5 linked regions of the Macaca mulatta genome follow. The protein of the gene in region 3 interacts with the protein of the main gene of each other region in a biochemical or structural test. Links are inferred from orthologs where the notes say so. Each region holds a gene or a part of one and is shown on either strand. Other genes may lie near its edges. The genes, in order: BCL3, DPF2, NFKB1, ELF1 and MAP3K8.

Region 1 (6,610 bases), on a different chromosome or scaffold from region 3:
TGATCCACCCGCCTCGGCCTCCCAAAGTGCTAGGATTACAGGTGTGAGCCATCATACCTAGCCCTGATTCAGATTCTAACAGGATCCCTCTGGCCATCAGGTAGAAAGAGACTGTTGGGGGCAGAATTGTGCTGCAAGGGATGAAAAGAGTTAGGGGTCTCCAAGCTTTGAGCCTGAGCCACTGCAAAGATGAAGCTGCCATTTCTGAGGCCAGAGCCTGCAGGCAGGGCTGGGTTGGAGGTCGGAATGAAGATATGCCTTGTTTAAGGCCAATGAGCAGGGAGCCTCACCCGAGGCACACAGGCTCCAGGCGGGAAGTTGGCGACGAGTTGTGGACTGTGGTTTTCACCCGCCTCGTGGGGCCCCCTCATCCTCTCCCCGAACTTCCCCTCACGACCTGGTGGAGCCAGCTTTGTTTGTTTCCCTCCCATCATCCGTTTCATGATGGGGAAGGCTGGTTTTCCCCTAACCCAGCAGACACCTCTTCCCTCAGCCTGTCCCTGACCCTCCCACCTCGGGAAGCCCCAGGCGGGCCTCCCAGAATGTCCCGGCAGGATGGGGCTACTGCTACCATTCATCCAGCCAGATGAACCCCAAAAGGGGAAGTGGGTCACCCACAGTCACCCGGCCCATGGTCAGCTGGGGACTTCAGGATCTCATCTCTTCACTGCCCCACCGCAGCGCTGGGAGGCTTTCCATGCACGCTTCTCATCCTCCCCACATTTCACACGAGAAAGCAGGGGCTCCAAGAGAAGCCCACACTCACCTAAGGATCTCCAAAGATGGGGGTGTCTGGATTTGAACTTAGGTCCTGGCAGATGTTGTAAGCTCAGAGGAGAAGGCAGAGAGGGTGAACAGAACCCAGCCCTGCCCTCCCAGATCCAGTGGGAAGGCAGACTTGTCCCCAGGTAATAATGACTCAGTAGAATTCACAGCCTGGGATGGAGGAGCCCAGGAGGCTGCAGGAGCTCAGAGCAGGTGCCTGACCCAGACTGGGGTCAAGGAGGGCTTCCTGGAGGAAGGGACAGCTCATCTGATACCTAGAGGATGAATGGGGGTTACTAGGTATAAATAGTGCAGGGAGAGGGAAGAGTATGTACAAAAGCCCAGGGTTGAGAGGGAACCTAGGGGCTTCCAGCAAGGCACAGTGGCTCACACCTGTAATCCCAGCACTCTGGAAGGCTGAGGTGGGTGAATCATCTGAGGTCAAGAGTTCAAGACCAGCCTGGCCAACATGGTGAAACCCTGTCTCTACTAAAATACAAAAATTAGCCAGGCGTGGTGGCCTGCACCCACAATCCCAGCTACTCGGGAGGCTGAGGCACGAGAATTGCCTGAACTTGGGAGGTGGAGGTTGCAGTGAGCCGAGATCACACCACTGCACTCCAGCCTGGGCAACGAAGTGAGATTCCATCTTTCTCTCAAAAAAAAAAAAAAAGTGGGAACCCAGGGGCTTCTAAATCCAACCATGTCCTGGCCCTGATTAAAATCTCCTACGACTGCCCTGGCAAACTCTTTAGTTTGGCATTCATTCATTCATTCAATAAACATTCCCTGGAGTGCATTGTCAGTGTCAGGCCCCAGGGGAACACAGCAGTGACCACGACAGCCCCACCAGACCGTGACCCTGACCAGGGAGCTCACGAGTGCAGAGACATCTACTCCAAGACCTGAAGGAGGAGTAGGAGAGATGCTGGGGAAGAGGCAGGGAAGGGTGCTCCTGGCAGAGGGAACAGCCTGTGCGAAGGCCTGAAGGTAAGTTTTGCATATGACACCTTTGAGAAACTACTCATTGTTCAACTGAAGCAGAGGCTTGTTCAGAAGAAGTCAGCCTTGTGGCCGGGTGTAGACTTCCTCCCAGGGCACCGGGGAGCCACCGTGGAGTTGTGAGCAAGGGAGAGACAGGGGTAGGCTTGTACTTCCCAGAGACTCCCCCAGCTGCCATGTGCAGGGTGAATGGAGTGACGCATAGAACCCAGTTTCAGGGGGTAGTTTGGGACTTGGACCCAGGTCCCAGGGAGAGAGTCCAAGGAGCCCTTCTCTGGTCTTCCAAGGCGCCGCTCTCCCCAAGTTCCAGATGGAAGGCGTGCCCATGGCAACCGCTAGGTGGTGCCCGTACACCACCAGCCAGGTCTTTGTTTGCCAAAAGTAGATCAGGCCCAGAGCTGGACAGAACTGCCCCGGGATCAGGAGAGCAAATCCTCTCTGTCTTTAGGTCCTGGCTCCCTGGCCAGGCATCCTGGGCCCATTTGACTCCCGGGCTCAGGAAGGAGCTGGCTGAGCTGCAGCGAGTATGTTCTTTGTCTCTTTCCTTACCTTGGAATCTCAGACTGAAGCCACGTCTCTTTCCTCACTTTGGAATCTCAGACTGGAGCACCCTGGCTCCCACTTCAGACAGGGGGATTCTTACCTCCCTCATCAGACTAGCAGACTCCTTGTCTCCCTACCAGTTTGAGGAGTTCCCCATTTCTATCATTCATTTGGAAGCTCATCAGCTCTCCCAGAAGGCATGGGAGCCCTTCAACACCCCCATCAGACTAGGACTACCCATCTCCCCCATCAGATTAGAAATGCATTGTCTCACACATCATAATGTTGCTCCTTACCTTCCCTGACAGACTGGAAATACAGACTGGACACTCGTTCTTGCTGCAGGGGGCTGGAGCTTCTTATCTGCTTCACTGGATTTGGACAATCCTGTCTCCCTCATGGGATTTGGTGAGAGCTCCTTAGTTTACTTATTTTTCTCACTGTGCTGGGCCACCTTGTCCCCCACCATCAGATTGGGGAACACCTTGTCTCCCAGTCAGACCAGAGGGTTGGACTCCTCCGCCCTTGCAAAGGTTCCTGAGTCCTTCTTACATCCATAGAAGGAACCATGCCTATTTTTCCAAGAGGGAAACTGAGGCACAGAGAAGCAAATACCACTTCTCTGTCGAGCTGCAGATGCCTCCCCCTCCTCCTCCGCCGGCTGCTCTGCCCCCACCCTCTCCCGCCCCCGCCCCTGCCCTGGGTAACTCCCCTGGCACCGGGAGTAGGGGAATTTTGCCCTGCTGGCCTCTGCACCAACCACCTCCCCTTATCGGCAGCGTCGCCAGCCACCGGTGGCAGCCCAGGGTTAAAGTCCGGAGACAGCTCGGGCGCAAAGCGGATAGGGAGGGAGGAGTGGCGCCCAACCCAGAACGGGGACTCCCCGGAGGTCGAGCTCTCACGCTGCTGGGAGCAGAGGGGATGGGCAGGACCGTGTCCCGTGGTAAGGTGTGGGTTCAATTCTTCTTTTCTAGTGTGGTCTTGAACCTGGAACTTCACCCCCACTGGGAGCCTCAGCTTCTCCAGCTTTAAGGAGTCAGGTGTGTGAAAACGCCCCAGCTCTGGAGTCAGACTCCAGGCGTTTGAATGCTGGCTCCTATAACCTGCTGTGTGAGATCTGGGGCCATCGAGCGCGTCTCTCTCAGCCTCAGTTTCCCCAGTTGTGCAATGAGGATCCCTACTGGGTGGTGGTGAAGGCTCCATGAGTTCACGCACAAGAAAACCTTGGGACAGTGGCTGATAGTGGCGTCAGCAAGCCAGCATGCACCCCACCCTTTCCTTCCAAGAAAATTGCCTCCTAAATCTATGGTTGGTAACCTTCACCCCTCCCTCTTTGACCCACCTCCTAACCCAGGCCACCTGGTGTCTTGCTACACAGCTGGTCTCCCTGCCCGCACCACAGTCAGAGGCGTCTTTGGAAACCCAATCCTGACCCCTGCTCAGAATCTGCCATGGCTCTCCAGTGCCCCCAGGAGAAAACCAAGTGCTGTACCACAGCCACAGCCTGACCACTCGCTGCCTGTATTTTCTTTCTCTTTCTTGCTTTCTCTTTTTTTTTTTTTTAAAGACAGGGTCTTGCTCTGGCCCCAGGCTGGAGTGCAGTGGCGCCGTCATAGCTCACTGCAGCCTCAACCTCCTGGGCTCAAGTGATCCTCCCACCTCAGCCTCCTGAGTAGCTGAGACTACAGGCACATGCCACCACACCTGGGTAAATTTTTTAATTTTTTTTTTTTTAGAGATAGGGTCTCACTCATTGCCCAGGCTGGTCTTAAACTCCTGGGCTCAAGCCATCCTCTCACCTCAGCTTCCCAAAATGCTGGGACTACAGGTATGCACCACTGCGCCCAGCCTCCTTTCTGGTTTCCTAATAAAGCCTTTTGTTCACCTCCTTCAAACACTTCCCCGCACTCTTCAGGTCTCAGCTCAAACAGGGCAGGCCCGGTCCCCTTGGTCCTCTCTGTCCTCCCTCTCCTGGTTCCCTGTACCTCTCCAAAAGCCCCCATCACCGAAAGAAGTAAAGATGTGGGGCCGGGCGTGGTGGCCCACACCTGTAATTCCCAGCACTCTGGGAGGCTGAGGTAAGTGGATCACCTGAGGTCACAAGAATTGATTGAACCCCAGAGGCAGACGTTGCAGTGAGCTGAGATTGCGCCACTGGACTCCAGCCTGGGCGACGGACAGACTCCATCTCAAAAAAAAAAAAAAAAATTGGCCGGGCATGGTGGCTTATGCCTGTAATCCCAGCACTCTGGGAGGCCAAGGCAGGCAGATCACTTGAGCCCAGGAGTTCGAGACCAGCCTGGGCAACATGGTGAAAATCCCATCTCTGCAAAAAATACAAAAATTAGCTGGGCATGGTGGTGTCTCTACTAAAGAATACAAAAATTAGCTGGGTGTGGTGGAATGCACCTGTAATCCCAGCTACTCAGGAGGCTAAGGCATGAGAATCACTTGAATCCGGGAGGTGGAGACTGCAGTGAGTCAAGATCACGCGACTGCACTCCAGCCTGTGTGACAATGCAAGATTCTCTCTTAAAAAAAAAAAAGTCCCCACTCTGGTCCAGCCACCATCACGGACGGCCTGGACCATGCAGTCACCTCCTCACGGGTCTCCCTGCCTGGGTCCTTGCCGCGTGCCCGAAGGGACCTGTCTTTCCCCTACATGCAGCCACAGGGATCCTGTTAACACCTAAGTCATCAGGAGGCTGAGGTGGGAGGATTGCTTGAGTCCAGGAGGTCGAGGCTGCAGTGAGCCAAGATGGCACCACTGTACTCCAGGCTGGGCAACAGAGTAAGACCCTGTCTCTAAACAATAATAATAACAACAAATTAAATTAAATTGAAACCTGGCCTGGGCGTGGTGGCTCATGCCTGTAATTCCAGCACTTTGGGAGGCCGAGGCAGGTAGATCACCTGAGGTCAGGAGTTGGCCAACATGGTACGTGGCCAACATGGCGAAACCCTGTCTCTACTTTAAAAATATAAAAGTTAGCTGGGCGTGGTGGCGCATGCCTGTAATTCCAGCTACTCAGGAGGCTGAGGCAGGAGAATCGCTTGAACCTGGGAGGCGGAGGTTGCAGTGAGCCGAGATAGCGTCACTGCACTCCAGTCTGGGCAACAGAGTGAGATTCCATCTTAAAAAAAAAAAAAAAAAAAAAGTCAGATTATCCCTCCCCTGCCCAGAACCCTCCATGGCTCCCATCTCCCTCTGAGTAAAAGCCTACGTCCCTACAGTGGCTCATAAGATCCTGATCCATCTCCTTGCCACCATCTCCCCCGCCATCCTCCCTTCCACTCTCCCCCAGCTCATTCTGCTCCAGCTACACTGGCCTCAAAGAGCCGTTCCGACCCACCTCTGGGCCTTGGCACTTGCTGTTCCCTCTGCCTAGAACACGCTTCCCCCAGATGTCCACATGGTTCATTCCCTCCCCTCCCTCAAGTCTTAGCCCCAAACGTCATTCCTTGGAGGGCCTCCCTTGGCCGCTGGATTTAAATAACAGCTTCGACTTCCTACCCTCCATCTCCCTCATTCCCTCACCAGCTTTATTTTTCTCCATAGCAGATACCTGCCATTGGCTGTATTTTCCTTGTCTTGTTGACTGTCTCCTGGATGGATGGAAGAGTCTGTGACTCCCCAAGGGCAGGAATCTTATTTGGTCAACACCGGGGCATGGCCTGAAAAACCTGTTAGCAGAGTGAATGAATCGGATGTGTTTGTTTTGAAAAGGTAAGGCGTTCACAAGTTCCAAAATTCAAAAAGGACCAAATGGCAGTGAGCAGTCGCTTCCCTACTACGACTCTGCCCGTCCCCTCCCCAGTCCCGTTCTCACCTCCCAATTTCTGTTCTTTTTCTTTTTCTTTTCTTTTTTTTTTTTTTTTTTTTTTTTTTTTGAGACAGGGTCTCACTCTGTCACCCAGGCTGGAGTGCAGTGGTGCCAGCATAGCTCACTGCAGCCTCAACCTTCTGGACTCAAATGACCCTCCCACCTCAGCGGCCCTAGTAGCTGGGACCACAAGCACGCACCACCATGCCCAACTAATTTTTATATTTTTGGTAGAGACGGGGTTTCACCATGTTGCCCTGGCTGATCTCGAACTCCTGGGCTCAAGGGATCCATCCATCTTGCCCTTGCAAAGTGCTGGGATTACAGGTGGAAGCCACTTCTCCTGTAATCCATGTGTCCTTCCCTCTTTATGCAAATTGTGCACGGTCTTGCTGTGGCCTGCATCTTCCCCTAGCAATACAGCAATACATCTGGAAGATCACACCGCATCAGCACCAGAAAAGCTTCCTCCTTCT
Region 2 (5,321 bases), on a different chromosome or scaffold from region 3:
CAAAATGGGGTCAGGATGGGTCCCACACAATCCCTATCTGCTTGCAATTCCTCTGCTCTTGATACCCCATCTCTATAGCAGGATCAGCTACAGGTAGGATGAGGGATGCTCTGCGGCAGGAAAGTTCCATGGTTTCCTGAGGTGGGATAAACCTCTAAGTCTTCAAATATTGTGAAATATCCTCCTCAATGGAGATGAAAGAAATCATCATCTAGAGGACTTCAGAATACCAGTGCCCACGCCCTCTTGGCCCTATTAAATCAGAAGCTCTGGGAGTATGAAGAGGGCCTGGGAAGACAGAAGTTTGTCAAGCTACATCAGTTTTTTTTTGAGACGGAGTCCCGCTCTGTCGTCCAGGCTGGAGTGCAGTGGCCGGATCTCAGCTCACTGCAAGCTCCGCCTCCCGGGTTCACGCCATTCTCCTGCCTCAGCCTCCCGAGTAGCTGGGACTACAGGCGCCCGCCACTTCGCCTGGCTAGTTTTTTGTATTTTTTTGGTAAAGACAGGGTTTCACCGTGTTAGCCAGGATGGTCTCGATCTCCTGACCTCGTGATCCACCTGTCTCGGCCTCCCAAAGTGCTGGGATTACAGGCTTGAGCCACCGCGCCCGGCCGCTACCTCAGTTTTAAGACTTGTGTAGTTTCACGAAAAAACACAAAATAATTGTTCCTTAAGAAAAACAATTGGTTCATTCTTTGTTTATTAATATTTACTATGGCTGAATTCTTCTAATTTTTTTGAATAAAATTAGTCCTTAATGCCTTGAAATGATAAGCAAAATTATACATATGTGCATGTGGACATTATTCTAGGGGAAAGGATCCACAGCTTTTATCAGCTCTTCAGAAACATGTGACTCAAAAATGTAAGTCCTTTCTAACCCAAAGGTCAATAAGGTTGGCAAACTTTTCTGTAAAGAGCCAGAGTGTTACATATTTTAGCGTTTGTGAGCCACATACAGTCTCATGCACATCTTTTTTTTTTTTTAATTCCCTTTATTATTTTTTGTCAAAACAAGAGTTTCCGCTCTGTTGCTCAGGCTGGAGTGCAGTAGCATGATCTCAGCTTACTCCAACCTCTGCCTCCCAGGTTCAAGCAATTCTCCTGCCTCAGCCTCTCTAGTAGCTGAGATTACAAGTGCACAGCACCACGCCCAGCTAATTTCTGTATTTTTAGTAAAGACAGGGTTTTGCCATCCTGCCCAGGCTGGTCTTGAACTCCTGGGCTCAATAGATCCCAAAGTGCTGGGATTACAGAGGTGAGCCACAGCACCCAGCCAGTTTTTAATTTTTTTTTTTTTTTTTTTTTTTTTTTTGAGACAGAGTCTCGCTCTGTCGCCCGGGCTGGAGTGCAGTGGCTGGATCTCAGTTTATTGCAAGCTCCGCCTCCCGGGTTTACACCATTCTCCTGCCTCAGCCTCCCGAGTAGCTGGGACTACAGGCGCCCGCCACCTTGCCTGGCTAGTTTTTTGTATTTTTTTGGTAGAGACAGGGTTTCACCGTGTTAGCCAGGATGGTCTCCATCTCCTGACCTCGTGATCCGCCTGTCTCGGCCTCCCAAAGTGCTGGGATTACAGGCTTGAGCCACCGCGCCCGGCCCAGTTTTTACATTTTAAGGGCATTTTTTTTTTTCAGGCTAGGCGCAGTGGTTCATACCTGTAGTCCCAGCACTTTCGGAGGCTGAGGCGGGCAGATCACTTGAGCCCGGGAGTTCGAGACCAGCCTGGGCACCATGGCAAAACACTGTCTCTACTAAAAATACAAAAATTAGCCGGGTGTGGTGGCATGCCTGTAGTCCCAGCTACTCAGGAGGCTGAGGTGGGAGGATTACCAGATTACCTGAGCCCAGGGGAGTGGAGGTTGCAGTGAGCTGAGATCATGCCACTCCACTCCAACATGGGCAACAGAGCAAGACACTGTCTCAAAAAATAAAAATTAAAAAGAAAGAAAAGGAAAGAAAAGAAATAGCTTGCAAGCTGTTTAAGCTGGCTGTGGCTGGATGTGGCCCATAGGTTGTAGCTTGTAGCTTGTTGACCCTGACTTAGAACCTAGAACATCTGATACTTCCAGGGGTTGCCCCTCAGCTGCCTTAACACTCCAGTGAGGACGCTCGGGCCCGCAGCTCTCCACCACCTCAATGTCCCACGGAACTTTAATAGGAAAGCCATTTTGTAATATAGATAGTCTGTATGATGGTTAAAAACAAAACATAAACACGCGACTTCTCCCCAAAGCAGATTCATAAACTGGGCCTGACAGAAGCTGAGTACTCCCCTGCAGCTGTTAAAGGACTCTCAGACTTTGTCAGTGGCCTCATTCTCTAGAGGGGTGACAGCAGTTTGACCAATATGTTACAAGTCAGCTTACATCACACAATGAAACACTTTCTCTTGCCTGTAATGCTGGCCCACATCCTTTGTGCACAGTAACAGCTCCTGGGCATTTGTGTTCTGAGTAAGCTCCTGAATTTCTGTACAGGAGGAGTTTATGCACAGAAATCCAGCTGGAAGGGGACTTGTGGAGATGCAACCAATTCTTGGTGCCACCACTGGTTTCAGTGAATAGCTTCCATAAACTTGGACCATTATTACTGTAAGTTATGGGAGAATTCAGGCTCCAAAGTCAAGTCCCTTCCCAATTCAGAAGGGGAAGGGATAGGAAATAAATGCTCAAATCCATCAAATTTCAAGAGTTGACTGTAGAAGCTTCACATCAGATAATCTACCACTTGAGTTTCCATGACTGGTTGGAAGAAAATAAATCATTCCTTCTGGGTGACTGATCTCGGCTCAGCATCTGCTTTCTTCTGGGCTGTGGATTTTCTGTTGTAAATGTAGCTGATAATGTGCAAACACTAAACCCTTTAAGTTGAAATGTTAGGAAGGCATTCTAAACTGAGCCAAGGCAAGGGGCTTTACTCACTAAGTTGGAAGAATATGTAAGTGATAACATAAAGAACATAGAACTCAGTATTTTCCAAGTAACTAATAAAATAATTGTTCTGAGTAAAAGATCTGGGCAACTTACCTTCAGGGGGCTCAGACATGGACGGGGTGAGACAGTACATGTGGTAGCCACGATCGCAGTCATCACAGAAGAGCAGCTGGTCCTGAAGTAGGCAAGAGGGAAGAGGATGGGGATTGAATGACTGATGTGCCTCAGGCCACTACAGGAAGTGGGAGGGCTTCTGTGACATGGCTATTTCCAAGAGGGGTAGGTAGCAGGTAAGAACAGATGCAGGAATCTTATGTAGGAACCACGCTGTCCCTCTCTACCGCAGATCCAGTCACTGTCATCTCTCACTTGAGTCCTTTCAGAGCTCCTAATCGATCAAATCGCCTCCAGTTTTTTTTTTTTTTTTCCTAAAGCCCAAGCTCTATAGGTATATTTTTTTGAGACAGGGTATTGCTGTCACTCAGGCTGGAGTGCAGTGGTGCAATCACAGCTCACTGCAGCCTTGACCTCCTGGGCCCAAGTGATCCTCCTACCTCAGCCTCAAGTAGCTGGGACTATAGGCACACACAACCACACCAGCTAAGTTTTGAATTTTTCTGGAGAGACAAGGTCTCCTTATGTTGCCCAGGCTGGTCCTCAATTCCCAGGCTCAAGCAATCCTCCCACCTCAGCCTCCCAAAGTGCTTGGATTACAGGTGTGAGACGCCGTGCCCAGTGACTATTTCTTTTTGAGAAAAGGTCTCGCTTTGTTGCCCAGGCTGGAGTGTGGCGGTGTGATCGTGGCTCACTGCAGCCTCAAACTCCTGGGTTCAAGCGATCCTCCCACCTCAGCCTGCCAAGCAGCTGGGGTTAACATGTGTGCCACCACACCTCACTAAGTTTTAATTTTTTTTGTGGAGACAGGGTCTCCCTATGTTGCTCAGGCTGGTTCTGAATTCCTGGGCTCAAGTGATCCTCCCGCTTCAGCCTCTCAAGTGTTAGGATTATATGCATAAGCCTCCATCCTTGTCCCTACAGTCTACCCTCCACACAGCAGCCAAAGTCTTCTTTTAAAAATATAAGACAAGGGCCAAGCGCGGTGGCTCACGCCTGTAATACCACCATCTTGGGAGGCTGAGGCAGGTAGATCACCTGAGGTCAGGAGTTCGAGACGAGCTTGGCCAACATGGTGAAACCCGGTCTCTACTAAAAATTAGCCAGGCGTGGTGGCGAGCGCCTGTAATCCCAGCTACTTGAGAGGCTGAGACAGGAGAATTGCTTGAACCTGGAGGCAGAGGTTGCAGTGAGCCGAGATTGTGTCACTGCATTCCAGCCTGGGTGACAACAGTAAAACTCCATCTTGAAATAAATAAATAAATATAAAATAAAATATAAGACAATGCCAAACATGGTGGGTTCACGCCTGTAATCCCAGCACTTTGAGAGGCCAAGGTGGGAGGATTGCTTGAGCTCAGGAGTTTGAGACCAGCTCAGCAATATGGCAAGACCCTGTCTCTATCAAAAATATAAAAAAAAGAAGCCAGGCATGGTGGTGTGCATCTATGGTCCCAGCTACCTGGGAGGCTGAGGTGGAAGGATTGGATTGCTTGAGCCTAAAGGGAGAGGTGGTAGTGAGCTAAGATTGCATCGCTGCACTCCAGCCTGGGTGACAGAGAGACTCTGTCTCAAAATAAAAAAATAAATACATAAAGAATAAATAAACAGCCGGGTGCGGTGGTTCACACCTATAATCCCAGGACTTTGGGAGGCTGAGGCAGGCGGATCACCGGACGTCAGGAGTTCAATACCAGCCTGGCCAACATGGAGAAACCCCATCTCTACTAAAAATACAAAATTAGTCAGATGTGGTGGCACGTGTCTGTAATCCCAGCTACTTGGGAGGCTGAGGCAGGAGAATCGCTTGAACCTGGAAGGCAGAGGTTGCAGTGAGCCGAGATCGTGCCACTGTACTCCAGCCTGGGCGACACAGCAAGACTCCGTCTCAAAAAAATAAATAAATAAAATAAATAAATACATACATAAATAACCATGTCACTTCCCTGATTAAAACCCTTTGACAGTGTCCTATTGTACCTAGAATAAAATCCAAGGCCCCACAGATCTGGCAGTGCTTGCCTCTCTCATCTCATCCCCCGCCATCCTCTCCCATGCCCTATCATTTGGCTTGTCCACTATAAGGCCTTGGCACTGGCTGCTCCTTTCCTGGGACTGCTCTACCTCCAAATCTGCTTGACTGGCTCCTTGGTATCACAAAATTTCAACACCAGCATCCCCCTCCCAGAAGAGCCAAACCTCACCATCAAAATAAATCACTTATGCAATTATTCTCTGCCACATTACTGGTTTCATTTTTTTCATGGCACATTA
Region 3 (5,837 bases):
ATGTTAAATGTACTTCTCTTGCCTTGCATTAACCTTTATATTTTTTTAAATTTAATTTAATCATAGATTCAAAGGAGGTTACAGAAATATGCTAGGAGGTCCTAGTATTTACTGCAAGGAAACCAGAGGTATCTTCACCCAGTTTCCCCCAATGGTAACATCCTGCATAACTTCAGAACAGTATCAAAACCTGGAAATTGACATTGGTACAATCCACAGATCTTAATCAGATTTCACCAGTTTTACACACACTTGTGTGTATCTGTATAGTTCTTCGTGCATATATTTTTTTAATACGTAAGTGGCATTATGCTACATGTTACTGTATTTCTGCCTTCGCTGCTTATCCACACAGTTCTGTGTACAGCTAGTTTGTTGTTTCAGCTCCTGAAGAGAATCTAGTATGGATCTTCCACCTCTAACATTCTTGTTTCCTAGTAGTAGACATTTAACCAACTTCCAACTTCCTACCTCAGTAGATAATACTGCAGTGACTCTCCTTATTTATGTCCTCTTGTGGATTTGTGTCAGAATTTTACCTATATACATCTACAAGAGTTGGGTTGCTGGGACATTTGTATATTTGGCTATCCAGAATGTCTGTGTAAGTCCCCATGCCCACAGCCATAGCATGAAGGTGTAATTGTTTAAGATATTATCCTTGGATTTAAGATCTAGAAGCTTTATATCATGGAAAACCATTGATTGGACTGTGGAAGAAAATATTAAAAAAAAAAAAAAAAAAAAAAACCTCAGACTCATTTTCTTAAATTAAATTCAAACTACAGATAATTTCTAATTCCTGAATGGTATACTATCTTACAATTTCAGATCCTTTTTTTCACATTCTCATTCTCTTTCCTTTTCCTGTCTCCCCAAGTAGCATTTCAGAAAACACAGATTAGTAAACAGTTTCTATTGACTTAGTTATTTTTGAGAAGAAGGCTCTTGGCAACAATATCTAAAGTTTTGAGGGCATCACTTCATTTCCGGCCAGGGTGATAGTCCTAGAAAATGAAAGAAATAAGGGCGAGTAATAATTTGGCAAAAAAAAGGGTCTTGGTCTGATATATTAAATAATCACTGTAGTTGAGATTTAGATGACCCTCACATCATTCATCCTGCCAGTTCTCATGTGCTGTGGTCACTTATATAGCTAGGAGGTTGGTGGCTCACCTGCTGCTGTAGCCAGTAACTGCTCAATGAAAAGGGAATTTTAGGCAAATTGTCACAAGACTGGCTGGATGTCATAGTTAGGCTCCTGTGAAATAAACTGATTTGTGTAAAGATACATTGCTGTTCTCTGTCATTGAACTCAGTTCTTTGAAGGATACATTTGTGATTGTATTTGTCTTACTCATTTTTGAAAACACACAGTTTGCAAAACATCTTATTTGCATTCATCGAAGTAATACCTTGTGGGCAGGATAGTCAAATGGACTACTGAAGTACCAATTAGGTATCATTAGCTCACCTTTTTTATTCATCTGAGTCCCCTTGGTGAGATACTTGTATTATCCTGGTTATGTTATTTAGAAGCTTATAATACCTTTTATGAAATAGGTATAGGAAAGCTATATTGAGTAGTCTCAGGAGCCAGTTCATGGGACAGTATTTTTTAATTTAGTAAATTTAGTTTCCATGTCAGCATAGAATCATGGCACTTTTGTTAATTGGTTTCTATTGAGTACTTCATTTAAATTTCTTCAGTGAAAATATAGCCTTATTTTGATTTGTTAATATAAAATCAGCTGAAGATAACTTCTACCAGAAATTTAAGAAAACTAAATTTACTACTAGGTGTGCTCAAAATCAACAATCAGTGGGTTTTAGTGAGAAACAAGAAGTTACTAAGACTTGTAAATATGAAAATAACCCACCACAGAAAAAGTTATATGAAATGATGGATTTGTAACTTAGTCTGATTTAATCATTTTATGTTGTAAACATATTAAAACATCACATTGTACCTCATAAATATATACAATTACTATTTGTCAATTAAATTTAAAATAAATAAAAATTTTAAAACCCGAATTATTGAATGGCTAAGTGTTAGTACAGTGTATGTACTTCATTAGCATATGGTATGGAACAGGATAACTTGGGTGCCAAGGTCAGGAGTTAATCTGGGAATGAGAAATGTTCCTGCAGTATGACCGCACCCATTGCAGTGACAGCTACCAAGCTGTAAGTTGTAAGTAAGTGTTCACTGCTGACTGGTGAATCTCCTGCCCTTCACTTTCCAGACGCCCTTGCACTTGGCAGTGATCACTAAGCAGGAAGATGTGGTGGAGGATTTGCTGAGGGCTGGGGCCGACCTGAGCCTTCTGGACCGCTTGGGTAACTCTGTTTTGCACCTAGCTGCCAAAGAAGGACATGATAAAGTTCTCAGTATCTTACTCAAGCACAAAAAGGCAGCACTACTTCTTGACCACCCCAATGGGGACGGTAAGAGACAATCACACATCATTGGTGTGGGATTAACTTTCTCCGCCTTCTAAATATCTACTAGGTATTTGATAAATGTGTGTTACTTGATTTGTACCCAAAAGTGCTTTCCTTAGTCACCTGGAGTTCATCATCTCTTTTGGGCATTTCTGTTGCTCACCAAAGCTAATTTTTTTAAAGGTGATTTAGAATAGTTAGTAGGAGGAAAAAGCAGAGGCCTAAGTAAAGATTCATCTTGAAGCACACAAAGTGTCGTTTATTCAGAGAATGTTTGTTTATGTTCAGTGTCTCCGGAGAACATAATAGGAGACTGTGGGTCTTCAAAGCAGAACAATCGACTTACAGTACCTTTGCTGTCCCTCCCCATGATTCAGTTTTTGCCATTTCCTTCAGCTTCACCAAGGGCCATCTTGTGAGCCAGCCATCCTATCCTGTGACTGTCCCTTTGCTTGGACTCTAGGTCTGAATGCCATTCATCTAGCCATGATGAGCAATAGCCTGCCATGTTTGCTGCTGCTGGTGGCCGCTGGGGCCGACGTCAATGCTCAGGAGCAAAAGTCCGGGCGCACAGCACTGCACCTGGCTGTGGAGCACGACAACATCTCATTGGCAGGCTGCCTGCTCCTGGAGGTGAAGGGCGCACTTATTTGCTTTTCCATTAAATTCCTGAGGGAGATTTAAGGAAATCTTTTCGAAGAATGAAGTCAGTAGCTGCTGTTCTCCCTTATAATCAACTCTACTTATTTAACACTTATGGAGGGCTTCAGAGTAGCACCTTTGGATGTTCCCCCACTCTCTTGCTTGGCATCTCTAATTGGGGATATCTTCAAAGACAGAGCCAGCCCAAAGTAGTAATTGGGCTAGTAATAGGACCCAAGGGGCCATGCACACTGGGAGGTGGGGACAGAAGGGCAAAAGAACCTTCCACTAACGCTTTCCTGTGTGGGCTGGATTGTAGGGTGATGCCCATGTGGACAGTACTACCTACGATGGAACCACACCCCTGCATATAGCAGCTGGGAGAGGGTCCACCAGGCTGGCAGCTCTTCTCAAAGCAGCAGGTAAGGTGGTGACCTGGCGGTCATTAATAAAAAATGTTACCAGGAATGCAAACCCAACTTCAATAGAGCAGCCATGTTGCCTTCTTTAAGCCACAGACCTACTGCTGAAAAGCAAGGGTAAATAAAAGTTATATGGCAGATCACATTTTATCTGCCATAAGGCACTGTTTGGACTAGTACTCTTGGGCTTTACCCTGACAGTCATGTTAGTTTTTACTTTCTGATTCATCTGTTTGTTTGGGGTTTGATTGTTTAGATTGACTCCCATGACAAGGGGTCTTTCAAAGTAGAGTTTGATTCCTTATGGAATTCTGAGTGGTATCAGTCTCAGATCATATCAGAAGTCCCCAGAAGAAAAAGATTATTGGTAAAAGAAATCATTTAAAGACTTCATTTTGAAAGAAATGTCTCTTAAAAATTGAAGTGTAGGAAAAAGAAAATGGGCCATGTATTAGGACCCATTACGTGGAAGGCACTAAAAATGGCTAGCACTTAGTGACCTTTCCGTGTCCCAGGCACAATGATATGCACTTTATGTGCACAGTCTCATTTAATGCCCAGTCACCACTTGTGACAAATACCGTTATTATTCCCCATCTTAGAGTCAAGGAAGCAGACTAGAGAGACTACCAGATCCCACTTCAGGGTTCCAGTAAGTGTCAGAGCTATGAATCACACTTGGGCAGTGTGAACTTCAAGACTTGATTCTCTCTACTATGTTTCTCTCTCCTATTTTGTTCACAGGTTTGCAGATGTTATTCCATTTAATTCTCTAGTCCTGTGAAGTATAGAAAATTATCCATGTTCATCTTTGAATTTCCAGTGCCTTGCATATTTAGAACCTCAAAATATGTGTAATGAAATTGGCATCTGAAGCCTGCCCTGACAAATCTGATTTACTTTAGAGGTTTTCTTTTAACTTAGAAGGTAAATGCTACATAAATTCAAGAAAACAGAGCAAATTAAAGACAGAGGAATTTTTCTTTGGGAACACCGTATTTTTCTTTTCTCTTTTAACAAAAGAGAGAACAATTTTTAAAAATACCAAAAAAAAGAGGAAAAAAAACTCTAACAAATAGAGCTTTTTCTTGAACAAGAAACTCTGATTGCAGTGGTTATTAATAGTTTTAGAAGACACTGATTATAATTAAATGCCTTCCAAGAAGAAGCTATAACCAGTCAGATGGGTTGGCTCACACCTGTAATCCCAGCACTTTGAGAGGCTGAGGTGGGAGGATCACTTGCACTAGGAGTTTGAGACCAACCTGGGCAACATTGTAAGACCTCATATCTATTAAAAAATTTTTAAAGTAGCTAGGCATGGTGTCACCCGCCTGTAGTCCCAGCTACTTGGGAGGCTGAGGTAGTAGTATCGCTTGAGCCTGGGAGTGCAAGGGCACAGTGAGCTACAGTTTCACCACTGCATTCTAACCTAAGCTATAGAATGAGACCCTGTCTCAAAAAAATACATAAATGAAAAGAAAAGAAAAAGAAACTATAACCCTTTTAAAAATGCTTTATATTGAATTCTCAGAATCCCATGAAAGGAATAGCAAGTAACAGTTTCTCTGATATATAAATGAAGAAACTCAGATGAAAACCAAGCCCGAATCTTAATGTCATGGAAAAGGTCAGTTAAGGCTGAGTGTGGAGGCTCACACCTGTAATCCCAGCACTTTGGGAGGCTGAGGTGGGTGGATCACCTGAGGTTGGGAGTTCGAGACTCATCTGGCCAACATGGTGAAACCCCATCTCTACTAAAAATATAAAAATTAGCCAGGCGTGGTGGCAGGCACCTGTAATCCCAGCTACTTGGAAGGCTGAGGCAGGAGAATCACTTGAGCCCTGGAGGTAGAGGTTGCGGTGAGCCGAGACTGCGCCACTGCACTCACCAAAAAAAAAAAAAAAAACAGTCAGTTAAGGGATAGCTCATCCCTCCAGTCTTTGGTCCTATAAATTGTTCATCTTAATTTCTCCATGGTTTTTTTGGTGGGATTACATTTATTGCCTCATAGATTAGGCCAGAACTGGGAGAGTAAAATCAAGAAATAGCATGAAGATCCTCCTTTGCTTCCCATTAAGTACTCTTCTATTATTGATATTGACACATCTGATGTTCTCCCAGCAAGATAAAAACAAGTTCCTCCCTCGAAAATGGCATCATTAGACATCAAGCTAAACACTCATAAAAATAATCTAAGCCTCTGAGAAGTAACTCTAGCTCTAGTCTTTGAGTTACTTTGGTGTTTCATTTATTTGTTTGTTGTTTTTGTTTTTGCTGGATGCTAAAGAGCAGACTAGATTTCCCAAAATATTTCAATAATT
Region 4 (5,837 bases), on a different chromosome or scaffold from region 3:
CTGGTGGCACATGCCTGTAATCCCAACTACTCGGGAGGCTGAGGCAGGAGAATTGCTTGAACCAGGGAGATGGAGGTTGTGGTGAGCCAAGATCGCACCATTGCACTCCAGTCTGGGTAACAAGAGTGAAACTCCGTCTCAAAAAAAAAAAAAGAAAGAAAGAAAATCATTAAGAAGAGAAAATATATTTACTATTTATTAAGCAGATGTGGATCAATAAAGGTCTTTTTTTTTTTTTTTTTTTTTTTGAGGCAGGGTCTTGCTCTGTCACCCAGGCTGGAGTGCAATGGCAAGATCATAGCTCAGTGCAACTTGGAACTCCTGGGCACAAGTGATCCTCCCACCTCAGCCTCCTGAATAGCTGAGACTACAGGCGAGCCCCACCACACCCAGCTAACCTTTTATTTTTATTTTTGTAGAGATGGGTCTCGCTGTGTTGCCTAGCTTGGTCTTAAACTTCTAGACTCAAGCATTCCTCCTGGTTTGGCCTTCCACAATGCTGGGATTACAGGTGTGAGCCACCCTGCCTGGCCAAAGGTCTTTATGCTTGTTGTGTTTATGTTGGCTAGGCTGAGGAGGGAGGAGGAAAAAAAGAGTTTGGTCTTGCTGTCTCAGGAGTAGCGCAAGTGGAAGGGGAGGCAGGAGACACAGGCACACTTGATGTAACTTTTCTTGAAAAAAGATTCCTATATAAGTGGACCTGTGCAGTTCAAAGCTGTGTTTTGTTTGAGGGTCAGTTTTATATTTATATAAAGCTCTAGAAACTACAAACTAATCTATAATGACAGGAAACAGATGAGTGGTTGCCTGTGGATTGGGCAGGGTGAGGAAGGGCGAGATGTAAGGATTACAAAAGGGCACAAAGTACTTTTGGGGTGATGAATATATTCATTGTTTTGAATGTAGTGGTGGTTTTAGTATACATAGTCACAACTTGTCAAATTATAAACACCAAACATATGTAGTTTATTATAAGTCAGTTATACCTCAACAAAGCTGCTTAAAAAATAAAAGACTAATATTCTACTTAATGTTGAAAAACTATTGGTATGATAAAGAACCAAATGGAATTTATAGAAATAAGAAATGAAATTGGGCCATGCTCAGTGGCTCATGCCTATATTCCTAGCACTTTGGGCGTCTGAGGTGGGCAGATGACCTGAGGTCTGGAATTAGAGAGCAACATGGTGAAACCCAATCTCTACTAACAATACAAAAAAAAAATTAGCCAGGCATGGTGGTACATGCCTGTAATCCCAGCTGCTTGGGAGGCTGAGGCACGAGAATCGCTTGAACCCAGGAGGCGGAGGTTGCAGTGAGCCAAGATCGCACCACTGCATTCCAGCCTGGGCGACACAGTGAGACTCTGTCTCAAAAACAAAAAAATGAAATGAAATTGAAAACATAATGTGTGGATTAAAACATAGACTAGTCACTGCTTAAGAAAGAATTAGCAAACTCCAGTAGATTTGGTGTGAATTAAAAAATATGGAAGAGTTACAGACATGGAGAACTAAATGAAAAGGTCTACATGTTTAATCAAAGTTCCAGAAACAGAGAATATGAAAAGTGAGGAAGAGACAATATTCGAGAGATAGTGACTAAGAATTTTCCAGAATCACATTAATCCTCAGCATTGTAAATCCTGAGTGGGTCAGCTACAATAAATCTAGGCCTAAATGCGTTGTTGGTAAAAATGCAGAACACCAAAGCCCTCTCTCAAGTTCTCCCTGCTCCAAAAAAAAAAAGAAGCAAACCAGGGAGAAACTACACTACTTCAAGAGGACTGATTTTTTTTTTTTTTTAGATTGGCAGTTTAGAAGCTCCCAGGAGAGACTGGAAGAATTAGACATTTTCAAAGAGCTGAGAAGAAATCATTGTCAACCAAAAATTCTATAACCAAGATATAATTCGTCTGAAGCTTTGTACATTGCCACCTTGAATGATTAGGAAGATGTTGGAGAGGATGGATACTGGGTTGGGAGTTTTTACTGGCAGCATCTGTTGTGACTAAAGCTAGTGGAGGAAAGTAGTGGAAATAAAGACGATATCTATTTTTTTTAAGCTGGTATATATTAATAGCATAAAATAAGGTGGGAGTTACTGAAGTCTTGGCTTCTGATACTTGTTATCATGAACACAGCCAGAAGAATCTGTCTCCTGAAGGGTTCTCTGCAGACGTCTGCGGTGATGAAAGTCGGGATACCTGGCTGACTAGCATACATTTGGCAATCTTAGAGACTGAGGAGTGGGCTTTTTGACACTTTCCTTCCTTCCTCTCATTCACCCAAATGACTTCAGAAGCGTTTTCCTATTCCGTTTCTGGGGATAGATTGTCACTGGCCTTGTGATTTTTTTTTTAGCTGTAAAATTCTGCTTTTCTAAGTTATTGTCCTGCCCTATATTGTATTTACTTAGAATTCACCACAGTAATCCAAACCAGAGTGGCAGCCTCAAGGGTAGGAGGTAGTAACTCTTCATTGTTTCTCACCTATAGATTGGCAGTATGTTCAGACAGCATGATCATGATCTAAATCTAAATACAAGGCAGTGGTGCTACTAGGCCGTGGTTCTAGATACTTGGCAAAAGAAGATCACAAATAGGGCTTTAGAATAGTTGATCGACCCCACTCTGAGACTATTGGGATGGACTTATTTAGACATTGATGGCGGGTAAGATAACTATTAAGCTTGTTGTGAATTGAAAGGTACAGAAAAACGAGATGTTTTTAGAAATACACAGAAGGATAGTATTTAACTATGTGGTTCACCAAAATTTTGCCTCACATATTTTCTGTATTTCTAGAGTTTGGGAAGTTTCTTATACTTGAGAACTAACTGTATACAGAAATTATTTAATAGAGAAAAAAGCTAAAAATCCACTTCTCCTACCTTAAAAAGCTGGTATAATCAATAGACAGACAGAGCTATGTGGCTTATTTTTGGAGCGCATGTTCTACCAATGTCAAAAGCATTCTCCGAAAGTTTAAGAAAGTGCTACCAGTATGGGTACTTCAAAGGCAAGCTATAGTATTTTTAATTAACTTCATTTTTACAGATATAAACTGAGGTGTCAGAGGTATCATTTCTTACCTAAGTGTGTTTATGGTTTAACCTGCATTAATGTCCAAGTTTTATTAAAGTTGTTTTCCTTTTAGCAAACAGCATTTTAAGAGACCAGTATATGTGACCCATGTATAAAAACATTTGGCACTTGACCAAATAGCTGAATTGTCCATTTTTTGTCACTTTTGAAGGCAAATATTTATGCAGAGCTGTTTTTATTTCAGGGAGAAAAACGAAACCACCACGACCAGATTCCCCAGCCACTACGCCAAACATATCTGTAAAGAAGAAAAACAAAGATGGAAAGGGTACTACTGTAATTTCCGTGTAATACTTATAGGTCAAGTAACACTCAGATTGCTTTATAGCGCCTGCCTGTTACAACTAGAAACCACCAGCTCTCTTGATATACTGCAATGGATCTTATTGCTGCCACATGCGTATTAGATACATTTGCCAAATTCTTAAAGGAAAACTGATAATAAAGTAGACCAAGAAACTCATTTGAGTGATTTTCACTTACCTGTCCAAATAATCTATTCTTTTCATGTAATAATGAGACTCTTGGAAGAATTTAACCAGGTTAGATTTTCAGTTCATAGGCCCTTTAACATGTTGTCTTGAAATTCAAGCATTTTTATAACTGTTGCCCAAATTTGAAGAAAACTGTTATGGCTGACCTGCTGGCTCTAATCTAAAGAGAACAACTGTTGAAAGGAGAGAGTTCACAAAGAGGCAGAAAAAAATTATCTCAAAGTACTTTCTCCTAATTCATCACAAATCTTATGACAAGATTGCTTTGTTCACATATTTTATATGGGACTAATAAAAAGATCTTTATAGATGCTGAAAAGTATGACCATTATACCACCCATACTAACTAAATTATGTCACCAATACTAACTGAATTATGTAATGTTTTTGTATAAATATGAATGGCACTTCCAAGACTTTTAGTTGTCTTTTATGATGGTCTTTTACATGAAATTTTGGTCATTTAGAAAGAAATTGTTTTTGTTTCAGGAAACACAATTTATCTTTGGGAGTTTTTACTGGCACTGCTCCAGGACAAGGCTACTTGTCCTAAATACATCAAGTGGACCCAGCGAGAGAAAGGCATTTTTAAATTGGTGGATTCTAAAGCAGTGTCCAGGTTGTGGGGGAAGCACAAAAACAAACCTGACATGAATTATGAGACCATGGGAAGAGCACTCAGGTATGCGAAGTTTTGGTATTTTATTGTTAAGAATATCATTTCCTGAATCCTAAAAAAAAATATCAAGCTTAAATTCAGCAAAGCACCAACAGTGGTAATGCAAGTACATAATAAGAGGGTACATTTTCAGTCGGGTGCGGTAGCTCATGCCTGTAATCCCTACACTTTGGGAGGCTGAGGCTGGTGGATTGCTTGAGTTCAGGAGTTTAAGACCAGCCTGGGCAACATGGCAAAACCCTGTCTCTCTTAAAAAATACAAAAAATTAGCCAGACATGGTGATGTGCTCCTGTGGTCCCACCTATTCGGCAGGCTGAGGTGGGAGAATCACCTGAGCCCGGGAGGTTGAGGCTGCAGTGATCGAGATTGCACCACTGAACTCCAGCTTGGGCAACCGGAGTGAGACCCTGTCTCAAAAAAAAAAGAGGGTGCATTCTCAAACATGAATTGCAGGTATGATATGTTAGTTATTATGGTAGAATAAATTAGTGCTTCAAGAGTACTATTAGACATCATGAGAACTTTGAACAAGCGTAACATTTTATTCTTAAGCTCACTTTTAGTTCATTTTTTGGTGACTCTGTCATTTATTTTTCAAGATATGCATGTATTTGAGACAGATTTATTGAAAAGAAGAATGATCTGAATGACTTAGGGGATAGATATAGATATTAAATTTGGCAATCTTAAACTATAATCCTTTAATTACAGTTTTTGGATTTTTTAACATACATTTTTTAGGTTCTTGATTTTATTAAAATAGATGACAAAAAGTTGGATCACTTCTATTGCATATCATTAAGTTTTATACACAAAAGTCAATTACATTTACTGAATCAAATTTAAACTGATACAGTTTGCCTAGTAGGAACATTTCTAGAAAGCTGCGGAGGAGAAACAATTTATTGAGGCTTTTCGTAGTTTTGATGATCTTGGCAAGCTGTCAGAAAGGGGCCGAGTGTGGTGGCTCGCTTCTATAATCCCAGCATTTTGGGAGGCTGAGAAAGAAGCATCGTTTCAGCCTGGGAGTTCCAGACCAGCCTGGGCAACGTGGCAAAACCCAGTCTCTGCAAATGCAAAAATTAGCTGAGTGTGGTAGCATGCGCCTGTGGTCCCAGCTACTTGGGAGGCTGAGGTGGGAAGATTGCTTAAGGCCAGGAGTTCAAGGCTGCAGTGAGCTGTGATCATGCCACTGCACTCCAGCCTGGGCAACAGAGCAAGACTCTGTCTCTAAATAAATAAGTAAATAAATTAGCAGAGAGAGGAAGAAAAATGAAAGACCAGAAGATTTCACATACTCTATCAACAGTCCCCCAATCAGCATTAGTTTTAGATTTAGTTGGTAATAAGAACTTATCTCTATCTGTGCATAAATGTATGTTTATCTTATATGAAATAACTGCCCTTTATTTAGAAATTCTTTTCTCATTAGTTTGATTCAACTTTAAAGTTTTGTTTATGATTAGGGAAATTTGATTTTGTTGAATATTTTAATTGATGTTTGATTGAATAAAATATTGATGAAATTGTCTGCTTTGAATAGGTACTATTACCAAA
Region 5 (6,546 bases), on a different chromosome or scaffold from region 3:
CTTTACAAATATTTTCAAGTAAAACCTTCTAATTCACCCCAACAGATGAAACCTACTCTGGCTTAAGCCAGAAGCAAGAGAGAACCCTGCTAGACCAGCCATTTCACGAGCTCTCTAAAATGCAGCTCTATTTGGGAGACTTCTATGTAGGAAGTAAGGCTAATAAGGTCGTTCCCAGAAGATTAGGTGTGGTTTTAATGAGCTCACTCAAGGCGGGTGGGGAGGGGAGTGGTTCCATGGTTCTATTTTTAAAACTCTTGTAAAGATCATCCTTTGTTGTCTAAACACCGCAGAAGAGAAAGAGACGTCTCCCAGTTTCTCAGGTTACAATCAGAGGTAACAACCTGTGCTAACCCGGTTTCCAGCGAAAAGGCCAAAAGTGTACTAATAACTTCGGCTTCAGCTGAGACTGGGATAACCCGCTTGAGCCAATGCCAAATTCCACCCATCCGGCGCGCAGGCGAGCGGGGCTTCTCCTCCCCAACCCTGGCCCAGGCTGCTTCTGCCGGGTCAATGCTGCCGCGTTGGTGGAATTCCCTCGCTCCAAGATCAGAAAGGCGGAGGCTTCAGGAAGTGGTTCTCCTCTAGGTGCAAGGGACTGCCTGGATATTTGGAGGGAATGGCAAACGCCCTGCTTCATGAGGTGAATGAATATAAATTAAATCGCTCTCGTATTTAAAATAACTTCGGGGATGACAGTGTCCAGTCAATCGGCCCTCGATGTTGGATTAGCTACCTGGGCTTGTTGTCTGCGAGTTAAGGTCCTGCAAAAAGTCCCTAGTTTGTCACCTCAGCTAACCTACCTCCTCCGGCAATTCTCTCGGTACATCCTCGGGTTGGAATTGTAATTCATTTTCCATAGCAGAAATGGGGAGGGCTCTAGAGAAGGTCCAAGGCAAATCGTTTTAAAAATTTTTATTTTTGGCCAGGCGCGGGGGCTCACGCCTGTAATCTCAGCACTTTGGGAGGCTGAGGCGGGCGGGCGGGGGTTTGAGGCCAGCCTGACCGACATGGAGAAACCCATCTCTACGAAAAATACAAAATTAGCCGGGTGTGGTGGCGCATGCCTGTAATCCCAGCTACTCGGGAGGCTGAGGCAGGAGAATCGCTTGAACCCCGGAGGCGGAGGTTGCGGTGAGCCGAGATCGCCCCATTGTACCCCAGCCTGGGCAACAAGAGCGAAACTCAGTCTCAAAAAATTTTTTTGTTTTATTTTATTTTTTAAATTTGAGACAAGGCCTCGCTCTATCGCCCAGGCTGGAGTGCTGTGGCTCAATCATAGCTCACAGCAGACTCGAACTCCTGGGCTCAAGGGATCCTCCTACCTCAGCTTCCAAGTAGCTGGGATGACACGCGTGAGCCACCATGCCTGGCCAAGTTTTATTTTTATTTTTTGTAGAGACGGGGTAGCTATGTTGCCCAGGTGGTCTCCAACTCCTAACCTCCAGTGATCCTCCCGCTTCGGCCTCCAAAGCGCTGGGATTACAGGCGTGCGCCACTGCGCACGGCAATTTAGAAACTGCACCAGGAGCACGTACCTGGGCACTGTGAAGAAAAGGGCATGGACTTGAAGTGTGACCGCGTTTGAATCTGAGTTGTGCCTGGGACACCCCACCTCCTGGGCCGTAGGGCAGAGAAAGAGGATGTCCTCCTCACATGGTCCCTAGCTCTCCGCGCTCTAGCCGAATGCCTGGCTCCTAGTGGATGCTTGATACGTGGGAAATGTAGGGGGAGGGGGTGGCGGGGTATTGGGAATGTCCCGCGGAGTGGATTTCGGGAGAGTGGCGCTTTTCTCTAGAACTCTCTTCCGGTTACACCTGGAGTAAACGCTTGCCACTCAAGAAGGAAAACCCCAGATGAGCAGCTAGGACTGAGGGGGTGGGCGGGAGGGGGGAGATCAGTACAGGTACTCTTCCTAATGAGGCGGTGCTACAAAATAACCAATTTTAATAAAGACTGCAAAGAAGAAAACCAGGTTCTGCTGTCGGAGTGCACAGGCCCCCAGCCGAGCGCCCAACACCCAGGTTCCGGGCCCACCCTGAGGCAGCCTCTTGGAAATCTCTAAGCTGGAATGTGTGCGTGAGCCATTGCCCTCTTTGTGTGTGAACTTGAAGCGAAATCTGGGCGAGGCGGGGCCGTGCTGCTAGTAATCGGACCCACAGTGGCGGTTCAGAGAAGCCCCAAGCTTCCCCAGCCTCCCGCAGCACGGCGGGGAGGGCACGAGGCGCCTCTGTCCCCACCCCAGAGCACGGGGCGCGCGGCAAATGGCCTGGTGACCGCTCCGCACCCCCCCCCCTGCCCGCCCCCTGGGAGCTTGCTCTCCCGCCGGACCCTGGGACTCCAGAGAACTCGGAGGGCGCGAGTACACTAAGATATACGACCTTCCCTGGGGACCGGGAAAGGGCACAACTGCCTCTTGCAACTCCGCCACCAGGACGCCTTGGGTCACCAGGCCCGGGGGAAAACTCGTCCACATCCCAGGCTCCCGACTCGAGCCGCAGCTCACGTCCTGCGCCCCTCCCCGCGTGCCGCTCTGCTCCTCCCTAGTCCCGCCTCCAGCTCCGCCTGGGCGCCCAGAGGGTAAACGAGGGGCGGCGGGGACCGCGAGGAGGGGGGGGTGGACGCGGAATTTCCCAGCGCGGGGGCTCTGGCTTCCCCTGCAGCTAGGCAGTCTCTTTCTGTTTACGGAGAGAAAGGGGAAATGGAAAAGTCGGGGAGGCGGTGGCTGGCGTCCGCTGCGCCGCCCCTGGGCCGGCTCAGACGCCGTGAGTCAGGGGCAGAGCACGGCGGTCTGGACGTGCGGGCGACGCGGGGCTCACTAGTCCGCTCGGGTCTGGACTGCGCGCCACGCTCTGGGGTCCGGCGCCCTGGCTCCTGTTTCTGCCGCTGCTGCCGCCGGATCCCGGTGGCCCGGCGTGCCCGGCTCGCACGGGCCTGCAGCCAGCGTCGCACCGAACCTTCGGGGGTCCGCGGCTGGAGCGCTTGGCCGGCGTGGGAGCGCCAAAGCCGCAGGTAACCCAGGGTTGGGGGTCTCCGGCGTGTCTTTCGGGTCGCGTCCCGCCTGGGTGCCCCGGGGATTCCCATGCAGAAATGGAGGGTGACCCCAGCAGAGGGGAAAACTCTGGCGTGGGAAGAGGTGGGGGCGTGCCCACAGCTGCGCTCGCGGGTCGCCGGCCGCACCAGGCACAGCTGGAAAGCACCTTGCGCAAGGGTCTCACGGGGTGCAGACTCGCGACTCCTCCCCCTTCCTCCTCCTTCCCGGATCCGCAGGGCCCGGGCAGTGCTGGTCCGGGCAGTGCGCGGGGAAGCGGGGACCCGCTGTCACTGCGCCTCCCGCCGCCGACACCGCCTGGACGGCCGCGCTGTCCCTGCCCCAGACCCGGTGAGTGCAGCTCGGAGGTTGGAGGACCCGACCCTCCCAAATGCTGGGTGCTTTGATAATTTACAAGCTTTTTAGGCTCCCTTGACTTAGAGAACCAGGAGGAAGGGAGTGGGAGTGTGGGCTGGCGGAGCCCAGAGACTTGTGAATGGCTGGAACTAAATTCAAGTTTGTAACCTGGACTGTATCCCGTGACTAAAGGAGTCATAGCAGAACACGAAGGCTGGGCTTTTGGTCTAAGAAAGAATACTAGGAGAAAAAAAAAAGTTATTTTCACGGAAGTTGTTTTCGAGCGATAATGCATGATCAGGACTGACTGAAATTTTTCTAGCTCTAGGCGGAGAAGGACGCCCAGGGATAGTCCCCATAGTTAACAGGGGAAGCCACCCGCTGCCTTTAAGAGTGAAACGTTGCGATGCTTGTCTATTTCACTTTGGGGAAGACAAGATAAAATGCTGCTCTTGATAAAAACGGGGACAGAAAGGCTCTTGCAGTTGCTTTACATACTTGTAGCCTGAGTCGTGTGTGCCAAGGAACGTGTAATCCACTTCCAGCTGACGCCCCCAGCTCTCTCCGAAGGATTGAGGTTTGTGTGCAGGTCGTCTGGCAGATGGCCCATGAGGACTTTGTCGTGTAAAGAAAATGGGAACGTGGAGGCATCTAGAGGTTTTGAAGCAGAGTGGCGGTCCTTCCTTCTATACCCCTGAAACGCATAATTCCGGGGCTTTTTGAGAACAAAAACATAATCAGAGATGTGCCCTGAGGGAGAATATACTATTTTGGCAGGATCTATCTATCTATCTATCTATCTATCTATCTATCTATCTATCTATCTCTATCTATCTATCTATCTATCTATCTATCTATCTATCTATCTTAGTATAAATATATATACACAATTTTTTTTTTTTTTTTTTTGAGACGGAGTTTCACTCTTGTCGCCCAGGCTGGATTGCAATGGCGCGATCTCGGCGCACTGCAACCTCCACCTCCACCTTCAAGCGATTCTCTTGCCTCAGCCTCCTGAGTAGCTGGGATTACAGGCGCCCGCCGCCATACCCGGCTAATTTTTGTGGAGACAGGGTTTCACCATGCTGGCCAGGCTGGTCTTGAACTCCTGACCTCGAGTGATCCACCCTTCTTGGCCTCCCAAAGTGCTGAGATTACCAGCATGAGCCACTGCTCCCGGCCTAAAAAAAATAATTTTAAATGGGAAATAACACAAGGAATAGTCATTCTTTGTGAGGCAGAAGCATATGCTGGTACGTTGGCCATTTTCATTCACACTTGCCAGGAAACACTCACATTTTGTTTATGTATGTGGAGGCAGCCAAGAGTATTATGTTAATGTTTAGGAACAGAATTTCCTCGTGATTTTATTGCTGATTTCTGAAATAATTCAGTGTAACTAGTTTTGACTGTATTTGCACATCTCTCCAATTCCAAAAGCTGGCATAATTTTCTGTTTGGTTAGGAAGCAGGAATTTTATGAGGACTTTTATTGTAAATTGTGTCAAGGGAAAAATCATCTTATACTAAACGTCTTTATTGGCAAACTAGAATACCTTCACAATCTTAACTTTCTAGGTGGCTACAGATCATGAATAACTCAGAAACCATTAGCTTATTGTGTGCTTCTTTAAGGCTGGAAAGTGCTGAGGCTTTTTGCAGGAGCAGTTAGCAGGCGAACTGGTCAGCAGGGTTTCTGGGGAGCATAGATTTGTGTGACAGGGGCCCTGTGTTGCTAAGGAATTAATGCAGGCACTGAGAAAAGTCTCAGTGTCAGACACTCCTCCACCTCCCGGGTCCTGCTTCCCTCCCTCTCCCCTTTCCAGGCAACTCACAGTTTAGGGGTGTGGTTGTGTGTGTTTAAGCTCTTGGGTTTTACATATAAATGCTTGAGACTTTCTGCAGGATTTAAAAACCAAAACCTTGTATTACCGCTCTTTTAGGATTTGTCTTTTAGAATCTCCAGTCCTCACAGGAAAACCCCCCAATTAACAAAATAAAAGAATAAAAAGAATACTACTACTAATTTTTTTTTTTTTAAAACCTCTAAAATTTGTCTTCCCGGATCAGCAGAGTGAATTTGAACTGTGTGGACATTTTTCCTCTTTCTTTCTTGAGTCGTGTTAGTACTGAGAACTTTTTTTTTTTCTGTCAAGTCATCCATTTGATAAATAAGTCCAGGAGACTTGGATCCTTTCAACCCCTGAGGCCCCAAATTAGGCTGTTTTTGTTTTAACTTCTGTGTTTCCAGTAAATTCGACAAGCAGAAACTGCAACTAGATGGCTCAGTAAAACCGATGTCAAATGTTCCTCCATTAATCTAAGAAGTTCCTTTCCTAACTCAGTAGACTCCAAGAACCTGAATCACAATCTCCCTCAAAGATGTACAAGATCTCGGGAGGGGAAGCTGCCCCCTCACTCTAGATTTCACTGTGTTGATAACAGCCATCAAAGCATTTCATGGGTTTCTGCCTTTTTTTCTCTCTCTCTTTATGTCTTGTTTTAGATACAATCTTCTTACTGCGAAGAAGCCAGGGGAATAGGTAGCCACATCTCATTTGCAGATAAGAAAGGAAGCTAATTCAGTATCTGCAAAGCCAGGAGTCTGACTCAGTACTTTTCTCTCTCATGCATATAAAGCAGCTAAAAATGACACAGCTTATTTACCATGCCCCTGACACTGCACTGAGCACTTTATGAGCTTGAACTCTTTTAATCCTCACGACCACTTCATGAGGTAGGTGCTGTTATTACTTCCATTTTACAGATGGGGAAAATTGAGGTTGAGAGAGGTTAAGTTACTTGCTCAACGTCATGCAAGCAGTAAATGGGAGTGTGGTGGGGAGGTGATGTGATTTGACTCCAAGCAGTCTGAGACCAGAGCAATGTTGGATTGCAGGATGCTAGACCACTTTCCTCAGACGCAATTCATACGTCAGAAAACGACCATCAAGTAAGTGAATGATGACACTAAATTGCATGGTTCTTTTGTCAAATGAAATGCACTGAGAGGCAGATGGCTGGGTCATGCATGCAGGTGGCTCTGCAGTGGAGCATTTCCTGGAGCTTTGAAATGAAGCTCCAGGTTGATCAGAGATGCGTGGCTTTAGCCCTGAGTGTCCTGTGTGTTAAAGGCTTCTGCCTTTCAGAACTTGAAA

Evidence for each region.
Region 1: the proteins of NFKB1 (region 3) and BCL3 form a complex in vitro, tested with the Homo sapiens proteins (2 studies listed by BioGRID). The link is inferred for Macaca mulatta from reciprocal best matches to the Homo sapiens genes NFKB1 and BCL3.
Region 2: the proteins of NFKB1 (region 3) and DPF2 form a complex in vitro, tested with the Homo sapiens proteins (2 studies listed by BioGRID). The link is inferred for Macaca mulatta from reciprocal best matches to the Homo sapiens genes NFKB1 and DPF2.
Region 4: the proteins of NFKB1 (region 3) and ELF1 form a complex in vitro, tested with the Homo sapiens proteins (2 studies listed by BioGRID). The link is inferred for Macaca mulatta from reciprocal best matches to the Homo sapiens genes NFKB1 and ELF1.
Region 5: the proteins of NFKB1 (region 3) and MAP3K8 form a complex in vitro, tested with the Homo sapiens proteins (2 studies listed by BioGRID and IntAct, with this or other methods). The link is inferred for Macaca mulatta from reciprocal best matches to the Homo sapiens genes NFKB1 and MAP3K8.

Annotation. Positions count from the first base shown.
Region 1 is NC_133424.1:57,227,992-57,234,601, forward strand, and holds the start of BCL3 (B-cell lymphoma 3 protein), read left to right. Parts: upstream 1-2,255; 5' UTR 2,256-2,291; intron 2,292-2,618; 5' UTR 2,619-2,718; intron 2,719-3,284; 5' UTR 3,285-3,350; intron 3,351-5,872; 5' UTR 5,873-6,037; intron 6,038-6,610. UniProt on the Homo sapiens protein: Contributes to the regulation of transcriptional activation of NF-kappa-B target genes. In the cytoplasm, inhibits the nuclear translocation of the NF-kappa-B p50 subunit.
Region 2 is NC_133419.1:9,048,196-9,053,516, forward strand, and holds the end of DPF2 (zinc finger protein ubi-d4), read right to left. Parts: intron 3,109-5,321; coding exon 2,914-3,108; 3' UTR 1,792-2,913; downstream 1-1,791. UniProt on the Homo sapiens protein: Plays an active role in transcriptional regulation by binding modified histones H3 and H4. Is a negative regulator of myeloid differentiation of hematopoietic progenitor cells. Might also have a role in the development and maturation of lymphoid cells.
Region 3 is NC_133410.1:111,965,670-111,971,506, forward strand, and holds part of NFKB1 (nuclear factor NF-kappa-B p105 subunit), read left to right. Parts: intron 1-2,249; coding exon 2,250-2,451; intron 2,452-2,911; coding exon 2,912-3,081; intron 3,082-3,409; coding exon 3,410-3,512; intron 3,513-5,837.
Region 4 is NC_133422.1:20,379,432-20,385,268, reverse strand, and holds part of ELF1 (ETS-related transcription factor Elf-1), read left to right. Parts: intron 1-3,290; coding exon 3,291-3,374; intron 3,375-4,089; coding exon 4,090-4,282; intron 4,283-5,823; coding exon 5,824-5,837.
Region 5 is NC_133414.1:31,776,470-31,783,015, forward strand, and holds the start of MAP3K8 (mitogen-activated protein kinase kinase kinase 8), read left to right. Parts: upstream 1-2,266; 5' UTR 2,267-3,012; intron 3,013-3,270; exon of another isoform or gene 3,271-3,382; intron 3,383-5,894; exon of another isoform or gene 5,895-6,125; intron 6,126-6,287; exon of another isoform or gene 6,288-6,341; intron 6,342-6,546.